Linked DNA regions of Danio rerio. Each later gene encodes a partner of the first gene's protein in a complex. Links are inferred from orthologs where the notes say so. Each region holds a gene or a part of one and is shown on either strand. Other genes may lie near its edges.

The links.
Region 2: the proteins of eif4ea (region 1) and eif4ebp2 are in contact, whole or in part, in a crystal structure (PDB 3AM7), measured with the Homo sapiens proteins. The link is inferred for Danio rerio from reciprocal best matches to the Homo sapiens genes EIF4E and EIF4EBP2. Residues at the interface, in NP_001959.1 of Homo sapiens: His37, Pro38, Leu39, Gln40, Val69, Trp73, Tyr76, Asn77, Leu131, Glu132, Leu135, Ile138, Gly139, Glu140, Ser141, Asp143, Asp144, Ser146, Asp147, Arg186; in NP_004087.1 of Homo sapiens: Pro47, Thr50, Arg51, Ile52, Ile53, Tyr54, Arg56, Phe58, Leu59, Leu60, Arg62, Arg63, Asn64.
Region 3: the proteins of eif4ea (region 1) and eif4g1a are in contact, whole or in part, in a crystal structure (PDB 5T46), measured with the Homo sapiens proteins. The link is inferred for Danio rerio from reciprocal best matches to the Homo sapiens genes EIF4E and EIF4G1. Residues at the interface, in NP_001959.1 of Homo sapiens: Pro31, Tyr34, Lys36, His37, Pro38, Leu39, Gln40, Phe47, Lys49, Arg61, Leu62, Ile63, Ser64, Val69, Glu70, Trp73, Ala74, Leu75, Tyr76, Asn77, His78, Ile79, Gln80, Leu85, Tyr91, Glu132, Leu135, Ile138, Gly139, Glu140; in NP_937884.2 of Homo sapiens: Glu608, Lys609, Lys610, Arg611, Tyr612, Arg614, Phe616, Leu617, Leu618, Phe620, Gln621, Phe622, Ile623, Phe624, Ala625, Ser626, Met627, Gln628, Lys629, Pro630, Leu633, Pro634, Ile636, Asp638, Val639, Val640, Leu641.

The regions. Positions count from the first base shown.
Region 1 is NC_133189.1:48,179,067-48,183,394, reverse strand, and holds the start of eif4ea (eukaryotic translation initiation factor 4E-1A), read left to right. Parts: upstream 1-1,512; coding exon 1,513-1,530; intron 1,531-4,328. UniProt on the Homo sapiens protein: Acts in the cytoplasm to initiate and regulate protein synthesis and is required in the nucleus for export of a subset of mRNAs from the nucleus to the cytoplasm which promotes processes such as RNA capping, processing and splicing.
Region 2 is NC_133188.1:33,555,295-33,559,686, forward strand, and holds the start of eif4ebp2 (eukaryotic translation initiation factor 4E-binding protein 2), read left to right. Parts: upstream 1-1,534; 5' UTR 1,535-1,687; coding exon 1,688-1,820; intron 1,821-4,198; coding exon 4,199-4,375; intron 4,376-4,392.
Region 3 is NC_133177.1:19,193,108-19,196,759, forward strand, and holds part of eif4g1a (eukaryotic translation initiation factor 4 gamma 1a), read left to right. Parts: intron 1-1,304; coding exon 1,305-1,438; intron 1,439-1,525; coding exon 1,526-1,645; intron 1,646-1,742; coding exon 1,743-2,132; intron 2,133-2,171; exon of another isoform or gene 2,172-2,232; intron 2,233-3,587; coding exon 3,588-3,652.

The DNA.
Region 1 (4,328 bases):
TAAAGATATAAACATGAACATTTAAACACATAAAGAAAAGTATTAACCCATTCTCCCCCCTTCTTTAGAAAAGATTCAAAAAAAGATTTTGGTATGGAAAACAAAGCTAAATAAATGTCAAATTGAGATTTTTAAATTTATTTTTCCTCAAAAATTAAGCTTCACATTTTTTTTTTTTTTCTGGCATTAATTCAGGTCAATTTGATGTTCTACAATTGTTACAAATTTATTTTGTGATTTTAGTTAATTTTTTTCACAATAAACCTTTGCAGTGTAAATGGCTTGATATAATTATTTTGAAGGTTTGAACAATAAGATCGTATTTATTGTCTGTTTTATTATGTAAAATGTTTATTAGAAAAGTCAGTTCAACTAGTTTGTCAATGATACTTATAACCACGTTTGATTATTTGGTTGTAATGAATTGATTTTAGTAAGATTGTCAATGTTTGTGAAAGTTTTGATTCTTAACATCAAATTGTCCAAGTTGCCTAAACAAATGAAAACCAAAATGTATGATTTGTAGTGATTCTTAAAACTAAAAGTAATATGAATCTGCCACAAAATAAATTAATGACTAAAAGTATATATTTGCCAAATAAAATAGGCTATAGTTAATATTGAACATTCAAAGATAATACAGTAAAATAATGCCAATGTTGACAATATGACTCTTAAAAACATTAAACCAAGTAAATTATTTCATTTAATGTGAGACAAATTGTCGCCTCACAACAAAAATGTCGCTGTTTCTGTTTCTGTGTAAAGAAGCATGTTCTCCCTGCGTTCGCGTGGGTTCCCTTCGGGTGCTCCGGTTTCACCCACAGTCCAAAGACATGCAGTACAGGTGAATTGTGTAGGCTAAATTGTCCATCGTGTATGAGTGTGATTTGGAAGTTTCCCAGAGATGGGTTGCAGCTGAAAGGACATCCGCTGCATAAAACATACTGGATAAGTTGGCAGTTTATTCCGCTGTGGCGACCCCAGATTAATCTAGTGACTAAGTCGAAAAGGAAATTAATGAATGAATGAGACAAATAATAAAAGTTTTTGTAATTACAAAATCTAAATAAAGCTCATATTACGTGTTTAAATGATTTTTTTCCATTTATAACATTCTTCTAAATTTTTGGGCAATGCTTCAGGTCAATTCAATGTTCTACAATTCGTTACAAATGTATTTTTGTGTCCGAAGCAAGATGATAATTTAATAAAAGTAGTTTTAAAAAGAATAATAATAAAAAAAAGAGTAGTTTGTAAAAGAGTTTTGGTATCATTGATTAAATATCTGTGAAGCACCTCGAAATAATATTTTTTTAAATAAAGTTTTTTAATTATTATTATTATTATCATTATTATTAAATTCCCATAGACATTTTTGGCAGTCATAAACAGACTGCCGTCCTCTGGGTGTCGCTGTCCGGGCGCGCGCTGCTCGCACACGAGTTCGCCTGAGTTTAGCCAATCAAATGTTGTTTTCACACACGGAAAGACCCTTCACATTTGTAGAAGATGGCGACTGCTGAACCGGTGAGTTAGTGTAACTGCTCTCACAAACACTACTGCACATACTTTAACGGCGGGGTTTAATCTGTAATACGAGTTTTATGTCGACCAGGGCTTGTGTATAAGCTAATTTGAATAAATATTCAAGTAGAGACAGATTTATATTCCATCATACAGTCAAATGAGCTGATGCCCGACTGTCGCACACATGCGTTTGAAGGAGACTGTTCAAAAGTGTGAAATAGTTGATGTTTTCTCTGAAATGGAGGGCTGTGGGCTGCTTGTTTTTTCAGAGAGTTGAACGTGGTGTTGAAGCATCTCTGTTATTTAGACTCGTAGTTTGCTGATGTGTCAATGAAAAGTATGTGGTTTGTTTTTAGCCTCTGTATGGACAGTAAATGAAACTTAATATAAGTAACGTTACATATTGCGATATTGTTAAAGGTTAACTTTGTATACTTTTAAAGATTTTTGTAATATAACCTTTAGTTTGTGAGTTAATATTATGTGTTTAGAAAGATTCATGTTTTAGTGTAATAACAATGAGAAGGTTGAAACTTAATGTTCATTCTTCCTCTGGAGAAACTCTGTTTCAAATATGGGCAGTTTTCTTTCATTAGGGTATATAAGCAGCTTTTGAGAACTTTTTTAACTAAATAACTTTTTGAACAGAACTTATAAGGTTAAATGATTCATCTAGCACCCATAAAGAAATTTACTTGTTATTGTTTTAAGTATTTATACCAATTTTTTTATTCACCATCAGGATTTTGTTGAAATGTTGTTTTGAAGTTATTCAGTTTCTGGAACTAAAATGGTGTCATAAGTCTGTTTATTTAATTAGACTATTTGATATATTTTTGTAATTAAGGTAAAACTGTTTTTATATTTACATATTTGGACTTTCTTTATATAATTTCAGAAACGTATTATTTGCAAATTCTAAATAGGGAAATCAGCAGTTAAACTATCAAAGCACAACATTGTTCACAGTGAATTAAATAGTGTTAATGTTGTTTAGAAGTCATACGTGCATGCTAATTCCGATTGAATATTCAATGTAATATGGTAACCAATATAGACACTGCTAAATGAATAAATGTGTGAATTTAAACCAACTTAACCTCTATCAGTTTTCTTTCATTAGGGTATATAAGCAGCTTTTGAGAACTTTTTAACTAAATAACCTTTTGAACAAAACATATTAGGTTAAATTATTCATCTAGTAGCACCCATAAAGAAATTTACTTGTTATTTTTTTAAGTATTTATACCCATTTTATTTATTCACCCTCAAGATTTTGTTGAAATGCTGTTTTGAGGTTATTCAGAGTTTCTGAAACTAAAATGGTGCCATAAGTCTGTTTATTTAATTAGATTATTTTATATATTTTTGTAATTGAGGTAAAAAAGTTTTTTATATTAGCATATTTGGATTTTCTTAATATAATTTCAGAAAAGTATTATTTGCCAATTCTAAATGGGGACTTTATATTAGTAGTCAAGGACTGTATTAAATGAACGAATGTGCGGATATAAATCCAACTTTACCTCAGTATTTTGTAGCGTATACAGTGTGATCTAGGCAGGTGACGATCACCGTTTTCAAGGTATACCACGGTTTGGAAAAGTCAAGGTTTTAAAACTGTCAAAATTTTCTGTAATACCGCACCGTGTAAGATTTTTTATTTACTTTTTGTTTGTTTTTGAAGACAACAGTTTCTCAAGCTGGAAAGATATCCAAAGATTCATGTCTATGATTCATTTTCATTATATATCTTGACATGTTTACTGCTCCAGATTTGTAAAAAATCTTTCAAAAAATAAAATATATTGTTTTCAAAAAGGAAAAAAAAATTAAAGCAGTAATCGAAATACCGTGATACCTGGAAACCATGATATTTTTATCCAAGGTTATTACACCGTCAGAATCATATACCGGCCAATGCCTTGTCTGGTAATGTAGTGTGTATTAGGCAGAGCTAATGGAAAAGTATTAGTAAGTAATAGTGCTCACTTTAAGCCTGATAATACATTCCAGGGAGTTTGACCTGGCTTAGTTTTTAGTACTAGGACAAAACTTTGCTAGTGCTTCAATATGAAAATGCTAGTTATTTATGTTTAATGTTATTTACATTAGTGCCAAAAAGCTTTTGAAAAAATTTAAGTCCTTTTTTTATTTCTTCGACTCATTTAGGACTAGATTTTGTTAATAAATTCTAATATTTATGCATATACCATTATAACATGTTTCATCTGAAAGAGAATGCTTTTGAAAGTGGAAAGCCAGAGTAATTTTCTTATTATTTTCATTATTTGTATTTTTTGTTCATTTTTTTTTTTTTTTTTGTTAGGGCCATTGCTCACTCGTGGGGGCTTTTGTCACCCGTTTAGAAAGTCATTAACAATACAAAAAAAAAAAAAAAAAAAATCTGATTGCTCTCTTAATAGCGTTTTCTCATTTTAAAACAAAAAACTGCATAGACCAGTGGTTCTCAAACTGTGGTACGCGGGCTGCCTTCTAGTGGTACGCAGAGTAATCCGATATGCCATATCTACATGCAACAGATATTTAAATATTTATAAAAAATGACTCGTATATGAATATGATGACATATAGCCTATATTTATGAGGTCCAAGCAGCATTTCCAGGCTTTTATACTACAGGTGAACACTTTACATTTAAGTACAGGTGTTTTTTCTTTACTTTTTAAGAACAGTAGCCTACCATTTTTAATTAACTTTTAAAATTACATTTTAATTTAAACATTGAAATTTTATTTATTTGTTTTTTTACACATAAGCACAGCAGTGTTAATGTT
Region 2 (4,392 bases), on another chromosome or scaffold:
TATTCATGCTCAAAGACAAAATCTAGCAGTAAAATGAAAGCAAAAGTGAAATGCACAGTCCTTCTCTTCTGCTTCACTAAATGTGCTTTACAATATTTTGAATACAGGCTACAAGGTTAAACTGAGTTTTGAAATCTATACAAAGTCCAGACTGAATGAATGTATTTATTTTTAATGGTATTAATTTGTTATTTATTTGATATGATGTGATCACAGATGTTATTATTGAATTTTGAAAAATGTAAAAAATTCTTAAACTGACAGTTAAGTTTATAAAAAACAATCCCTATCAAGTAAAATAAGAACAGAAATTAATATAAAATAATTTTAATTATGTTAAAAAAACTAAATCTTGCAGAAAAAAAGCAAGCAAAAGTCCTCTTATATCACACAATGTGTTTTTTCAATATTGTGAAATAAACAAGGTTACGAGGTTAAACTGAGTTCAGTAATCTATACGAAGTCCAGACTAAATCAACGTATTTATTTAACATTATTTATGTGATATGATCACAAATGTGATTATTGAATTTTGAAAAATCTGAATAATTTTTACTGAGATAACAAACAATTTGCATTCACAATCCTCCCATCCTCAATAACATGAATACTACTACTACTACTACTACTACTACTAATAATAATAATAACAATAATACAGCATTCATGTATTCATTCATTTTCTTTTCAGATTTACCCTATAAATCTGGGGTCGCCACAACGGAATGAACCGCCGATTTATCCAGCATATGTGTTACGCAGCAGATGCCCTTCCAGCTGCAACCCATCTCTGGAAAAAAATAAATAAATAAATAAAATAATAAAAAAAAAAAAAAAAAAAAAAATATATATATATATATATATATATATATATATATATATATATATATATATATATATATATATATATATATATATATATATATATATAAATAAACAAATAAATAACAAATAAAATAAATGATACAGAAAAATACAAAACAGGGGAGTTGAAGTTCTCACAATATGCAACCAAAATCCTCAAATGATGAACATAAATATCTTTCTTGTTGGCTTTTCATCTCTTTTAATGTCTTTAAATATATATATCAGATTCTCCTTTAAACACCCATAGTCTTGGGGAAATTAAAAAAATATATAAAAATTTATGAATATAAAATTGCAATAATATCAACAAATTCATTATCTATCTTTTTATCTTTAAGCATTACGTTAAACTTAATAATTTCCTATGAGAAGATAAGTCTTGCAGATGTTTTCTGATGTATCCAAACCCAAACTAATTTTTGTCCCAAAATGTTTGTACCAATTTACATCGGAAAAACAAGTGTATAATTTTTTTAATGTCTAGGTTACAAAACTAGCATACATTTGAGTCAACAATATTTAATTTTATCCTTATAAGTTATTTTGCAGTAAAAACTCATTGACTGGTATCAAAAATGTTGAGTAAAACAAATTGTGGGCGTTGAATCGACGTAATTCTTCCCTGACGTCATATCCTCCGAGCGCTCTTCGCTTCCTGCCTGGCGGAGGGAGGGGTCGGTGCTGACGGCTGGGAGGACGAGCTGAACGTGAAGAAAGCCCTGGGAAAGCGATAAGAAACGAGGGGAAAGGGCCCGAGGTTTTTACCTTCCATCGGGGAAAACTTATCGCTCGACTCTGATTAGCACCCGAAGCAAGTGCAATGTCGTCCAGTCGTCAGCTTAGTGAGAGCAGGGCCATCCCGACCAGGACGGTGCTGATCAACGACTCAACGCAGCTACCTCACGACTATTGCACCACTCCTGGAGGCACTTTATTCTCCACCACCCCGGGAGGTAATAAAGCGAGACGAGCCCTTAAATATGCAGCTGTTTGCAGGGAGATCGTGTAATAATGGTTGGCCTGTGTTGGCCAGGAAGCCGTAACCACATAAAACGGCTGTGTCTTAAAACCTAGTGTTCCACCTGCCTAGATAGCATTATAGGGTTCTCGCTGTAACCTTCGTTTAGTTTGCATGTAAACAGTGTAATGATGGTCAAAAACGCTAAGACTTTTAAAACGGACATGGTTTAAATATGTATACTAGGTAGGCAGCGTACTAGGTTTTTGAGACACAGCCATGTAGTTCAAAACAAAAACAGCGCCGCCTGTGCGTCGATATGATCAACATGATTGGTCCGCAGTGACTGATTGACAGAACAGGACAGAACAAAGGAATGTAGGACATTAAACGCACATAAGGATATGTATAGTAATAATGAAATATACTATATCAATTGTCATCTTAATTGATATATAGATCAACAATATGTTTGCATATATTTGTGCCTATTTGTGTATGCATGCATATGTATGCATGTAGGATGTTCTGTGTATGTATGTAGGATTTCTGCAGGATCTAAAAAGTCTTGGTTCACCATTTAAGGATTTGAAATGGATTCAAATTTAGGCATGAACTCTTGCAAGTAGGCATGGGACAATAATGGTTTTCAAGGTATATCACAGTTTGGAAAAGTCAAGGTTTTAAAACCGCCAAAACATTTTTTTGTTACACCTTCCCTACAGTATATGCAATAATTTTTTCAAAGTTTTTGTTGCTGTTGTTGTTTTTAGGACAACAGTTTCTCCAGCAGATAAGAGATTGAAAGATATGGTTTTAAATTGTAAAGAAATCTGTGTTTTTGACACTAATAAACACAGCAGGAGTCAATGATTCATTTGAATTATTTAACCTGACATGTTCCAAAATATTTCAAATGTTTTGCATAATAAAATATATTGGCTGCGTGCAAAATCACAGACTACTCATTAGGTACTGCATTTAAATAAAAGTTTACTACTCAATCAATAGAATAGTATGTTCTATGCAGTATGAATGTGAGTAGTATGAATGAGCTTGGATGTAGTACGGGGTTCATTTTGTCATCATCACATGACAGACCTGCTTCACTTTCATGAATATTCTCGCAGTGTATCATGGGATAGCGTCGTGTCCATTGAATGTGCACTTTAGAATCTCGGCGAAAGTAGTAGGTCATCCAGGTACTACTCGCATACTGTTTATCAAATTCTATGAATCGGCTTGCATACTGTTTTTAGCGTACTATATAGTATGTAAGCATGCAATTTCAGATGCAGCCATTGCTTTTAAAACAGAATACATTTTTTTATTATTATTTTTTTTAACCCAGACGTTTAATAAGAATATATTTTGGAGCAGAAATCACATTACTGTAAAACCGTGATGTTTTTATCCAAGGTTATCATACCATTAGAATCTTATACTAGCCAATGCCTACTTGCAAGCAAGTATTTTTGTTTTGCAGTATAAACATGCTTAAAGGGACAGCCCAAAATTAAAAATTCTTTCATCATTTACTCATCTTTCGCCATTTGAGTTTTTTTTCTAATAAACACAAAAAAAAGATACTTTGAAAAATGCTGGTAGCTGGCACACATTGACTTGCGTAGTGTTGTTCCTCTCAATTCCTCACTTTCCCTCTCATAACATGTAATAATGCTTCTCAAGTAACTAAATCTTGATTTAACATATTGTGAATATTTGTAACTTAAAAAAGAATTATGAAGTGACCAAGAGGGCACATTAAAGTTATTTCAGAATCCTATTATTCAAACTTTAAAAGGATAGTTCACAAAAAAAAATGAAGAAGTACTGTATAAAAAAACAAGGAAAATATTTCAAAGAATAACCAGAAACCATGCTAACCAATGACATGTATAATCACGTAAAGTCAACGGTTAACATTAACATTTTAGTTACCAGCATTTCCTGTGTTAAACAGTAAGCAAAACTCATACAGGCTTGGTACAAGTAATGTGTATAGGATGACAGTATTATTATTAATATTATTATTATTAGCTAAAATCTTTCATGCAATGTTTTTTTATAAAATTGATTTAAAAGATGCAGAAGTAGCAAAAATATAATTTTTTTTTTAATGTGTAGCTCACCCTAATTGGGACATGAGCTTCATTAAAACCATTAATAATCCCATTAAAATCATCATAATTTTCTCACCCATATTCTCAACCCCATATAATTTGCTTACATATTATTACTGCAAAGCAAAATGTGTCAGATTGCTTTAGGTTGAGGTTAATTTATAGTCTTCCATAGGGAAAAAAGTGCTACTTTGGAAGCTGTATATTAAAACAGAATCATAACATAATATATTTATTTATGACAATGCAGGAACCCGAATAATCTATGATCGTAAGTTCCTGTTGGACCGGCGTAACTCCCCCATCGCCCAGACCCCACCAGCGCACCTGCCGGTTATCCCAGGAGTGACGGGCAAGAACATCCTGAATGAAATCAAGCGGAATGAAGCGAACAACATCAACAACCATGATGCCAAGCCAGGGCAAGGTTAGTCTTTCAAACTG
Region 3 (3,652 bases), on another chromosome or scaffold:
AGGAAAAATTTCAGCTTCCTTTTTCTATTCTCCACAATCATATGATCCTTTAGAATTGATAATAACATGTAAATTAGGAGCTGACAAAACCTTTATTATTTGAATCAAGCAAATTTTAATTACAAAGTTTGGTATAATTTGGTGAGAATAGGGGTGAAAAATGACCATTAACCTACCTTAACTTAGAACTTGATATTTTATGTATCAAGACTTGACTTTAAAATACATTTACATGCTTACTCATTTCGTTTTTGATTAATTACATTTACAATCAACTGCTGTCAAAAAGATTCCCGTTAAAACTAATTTAATAATTTACAAATTATGCATTGTGTGCTTGCCAGTGATATGTTTTGTAAAGAGATACACTACGTCTACGCACATTCATTGTTTTGCATGTCATGTTGTGCGCCAATACTTAACCTGTTAAATGCATATGTGAAACATCACAGTATTCACAAAAAAAAAATCACATTTTAAGTAAAATGTTATTGTTCAAAGCAAACACTTTGCCACCATTTCCCCCCCTCAAAGTTGTAGTTTAAGGGTGGTTTCACATCTAGACTTTTATTTCGGAACCTGTCTCCATTGCCTAGTTAGCATGGTTCGTTTGGCATATGTAAATCCAGCAATTGCGCTCGGATCCGCGCCAAAACAATCGCTCCGAGATCACCTGAATGAGGTGGTCTCGGCTTGATTGAAACGAACTCTGGAGCGGATCGATTGTAGTAAGAAAGCGATATGATCCAAGCACGGCAATTTCATAGTGTTTTATGGATATGTAATAGGCATATGGCAATACGAAGAGAGAATTAAGAGTAGGGTGGAAGGTCATTCCAGACATCCCAAGTCTCCCGGAAGTTCTGGGAGTTTTCCGCAAATGCACAGAGACTACCGAATGCCTGCAAACGAATGATAATCTCCCGGAAATTGTGTCTCCCTGCCGGTCCTCAAATACGTTGTGCAAATACGTACGGCATGATTTGACTCATCGGCGATTCTCTCAGATCGCATCTTTGATGGTTCATACTGTGTGATTGGCACTCACATGCACGAGCACCGATTTGCCTGTGATTTCAGGCATTTGTCGGCGATTTCTCAAAACCTGGGGCGAGCCGAAATCGCGGCTAAAATCACACAGTCTGAACTAGGCATAAGTGAATAGCCGAAATGTGCAGAAGGTTTTTTCTTTTTAGCTGAAGATGGTGTTTTGTTGACGATGGTGTGTAGCTTGTCTTGTGCAAGGCAGTCGCATTGTCTAAATGTCTCATTTTGGTCTATCCTGCAACTTTTTTCCCTAACAGAACAATGGAAACCAATCAACCCAGAGGAGAAGAAACGATATGATCGAGAGTTCCTGCTTGGCTTTCAGTTCATTAGTGCAAGCATGCACAAGCCAGAGGGTTTGCCACACATCAGTGATGTTGTCTTGGACAAGGTGAACCTTGCATCTGGACCCCTCAAATTTATCCTGTGCCGTTTAGTTTTTAAAGTTACATTCACTCACTTGTTGTTTGTATAACAGGCAAATAAAACCCCCTTGCGGCCCTTGGACCCCAGGAGTCTGATGAACTGTGGGCCTGATTTCACACCTTCATATGCTAACTTGGGTCGGCAGTCATCCGGAGGAGGAGGGCGAGGACCGGTCAGTTCAGTTTCTTTAGTCATAGGATTTTAATAGTTAAAATATTTACTCTGTGTTGAGGTCAGTCATTTATTTTTAAATGTTGAACTCCTTTCAGTCTGCACGGCGCCCTCAGCCGGGTCGAGGCAAAGACCAGATCAGTCGCAACCCCAAGATCATCACCAGCGTTTCTCTCAAAGACAACATTGAGCTCAACCAGGCTGAGAACGCTTGGACACCCTCGGTCAAGAAGCAAGTACGAAGTCGTGGAGAAGAGGAGGAGGATGATGCGGAAGCCGCTAAAACACAGGAGCTGTTCCGCCGTGTGCGCAGTGTCCTGAACAAGCTCACACCACAGATGTTCCAGCAGCTGATGAAGCAGGTGACCGAGCTCGCCATAGACACTGAAGAGAGGCTCAAGGGTGTCATTGACCTCATCTTCGAGAAAGCCATCTCTGAACCCAACTTCTCTGTAGCTTATGCCAACATGTGCCGGTGCCTTATGGGGGTAAGTAACTTTTTTCTGCAGGGTTGCTCGTGTCTGTTGCTTCATTGATGACCTGTTTTGTGCCACTGATGTATTGTAATGGTAATGAGGATCTGAAGAGCTTTCTTTTGGTTGGCACTCAAAAAAAACATGAAGCCATATTGTTGTTGTTCATTTTAAAATCACACAAATTGCAATTCTATTAATAATTACTGGGAGTGTTTCGGTTTCTCCAAATCACCAAACCGTACACTTCAAGAAGTTTTTAAAAGAAACGTAAATAGATCAAGCATTTTTTTCAGGAAACTTTGTTTATTGAATAAATAAAACATCTTATTTCTGTAAGAATCGATGCACCTACACAGCTCAAAGTTAATCAATTGAAGTGTAGTCGTACTTCAGAAATGAGAGTAAACCTCACTGGTTCACCTTTTAGCTTCTGTTTGCAGTTTTAGCCTGTTAAATACCAGGGGTGTAACGGAACACGGTTGATCCGTACAGATCACAACTTGCGGTTCGGAACACACTTGACCTGCAGATTAAATAAATTTTTTTACTTGTAGATTGATTCTAAATTTGTAACGATCACAGAGAGGTCATTTCTCGCATCATTCAAATCACATGTATGAAAGCATTTCGGCTTTCTTGTAAAATATAATGATGATGGAAGAAGTTGTGGTAGGTTATTCGACATGTGGTGGGTTTCATAAAAGGTGTTTTCTGTCACTATTTGTTTAGCCTGCATTAATGCATTCAATGTAAGCTGCACGATTAATTATTAAAAGATTGTGAAGTCAACTACCACGCAACAAATTATAAATGATGATGTATTGCAGATGTTTATCAATCCTTCAAATCACTGCATCCAAATCTGAAACCGCAAAAATTAAGAGATTTATCTTTTAGTCTTTTGAGTTTATGAAGTTGTAGGCAGCAATTGCATTATTTAAACAAGAGGTGGCGACCAACCAAACATGAAAAATATACCACTGAATAATTTTTCACAAATTATACATCAGCCATGATACCTGAAGTTTTATAAGTGAAAAAGTAAATCATTTATTGAAAATGAGATTAAAAATAATTAAATGTTGTTCAAATTATAATGTTAGATTTCTACATTTAGCATTAGCTGCAACAGTAGTAGTAACAGTGAATTTTTCAATATTTTACAATATATATTATACAGCTGATTATTTCTTAATTTTTATTTTTTTAAATGACAGGCTCTAAATTCTGTTTGTTAAAACCAAAAGTGTCTTGCAGGGCTGTTTTTTGTAAAAAAAAAAATAGAAAGCAGATTATACATTTGTCTTTTTTTGGCTGATCCGAAAAATGGTTCAATCTGCGACTAAAAACCATTCACTGATCCGAATCGTGAGATTTGTTATCCGTTACATCACTTAAAAACGATTACTGTTTTAAAATGTGACCTTGCTTCTTGTTAATAATAGTTGAATAAATGTTTTGTTTCAGCTTAAAGTCCCCACTTCAGACAAACCGGGAGTCACTGTGAATTTCCGCAAACTGCTACTGAACCG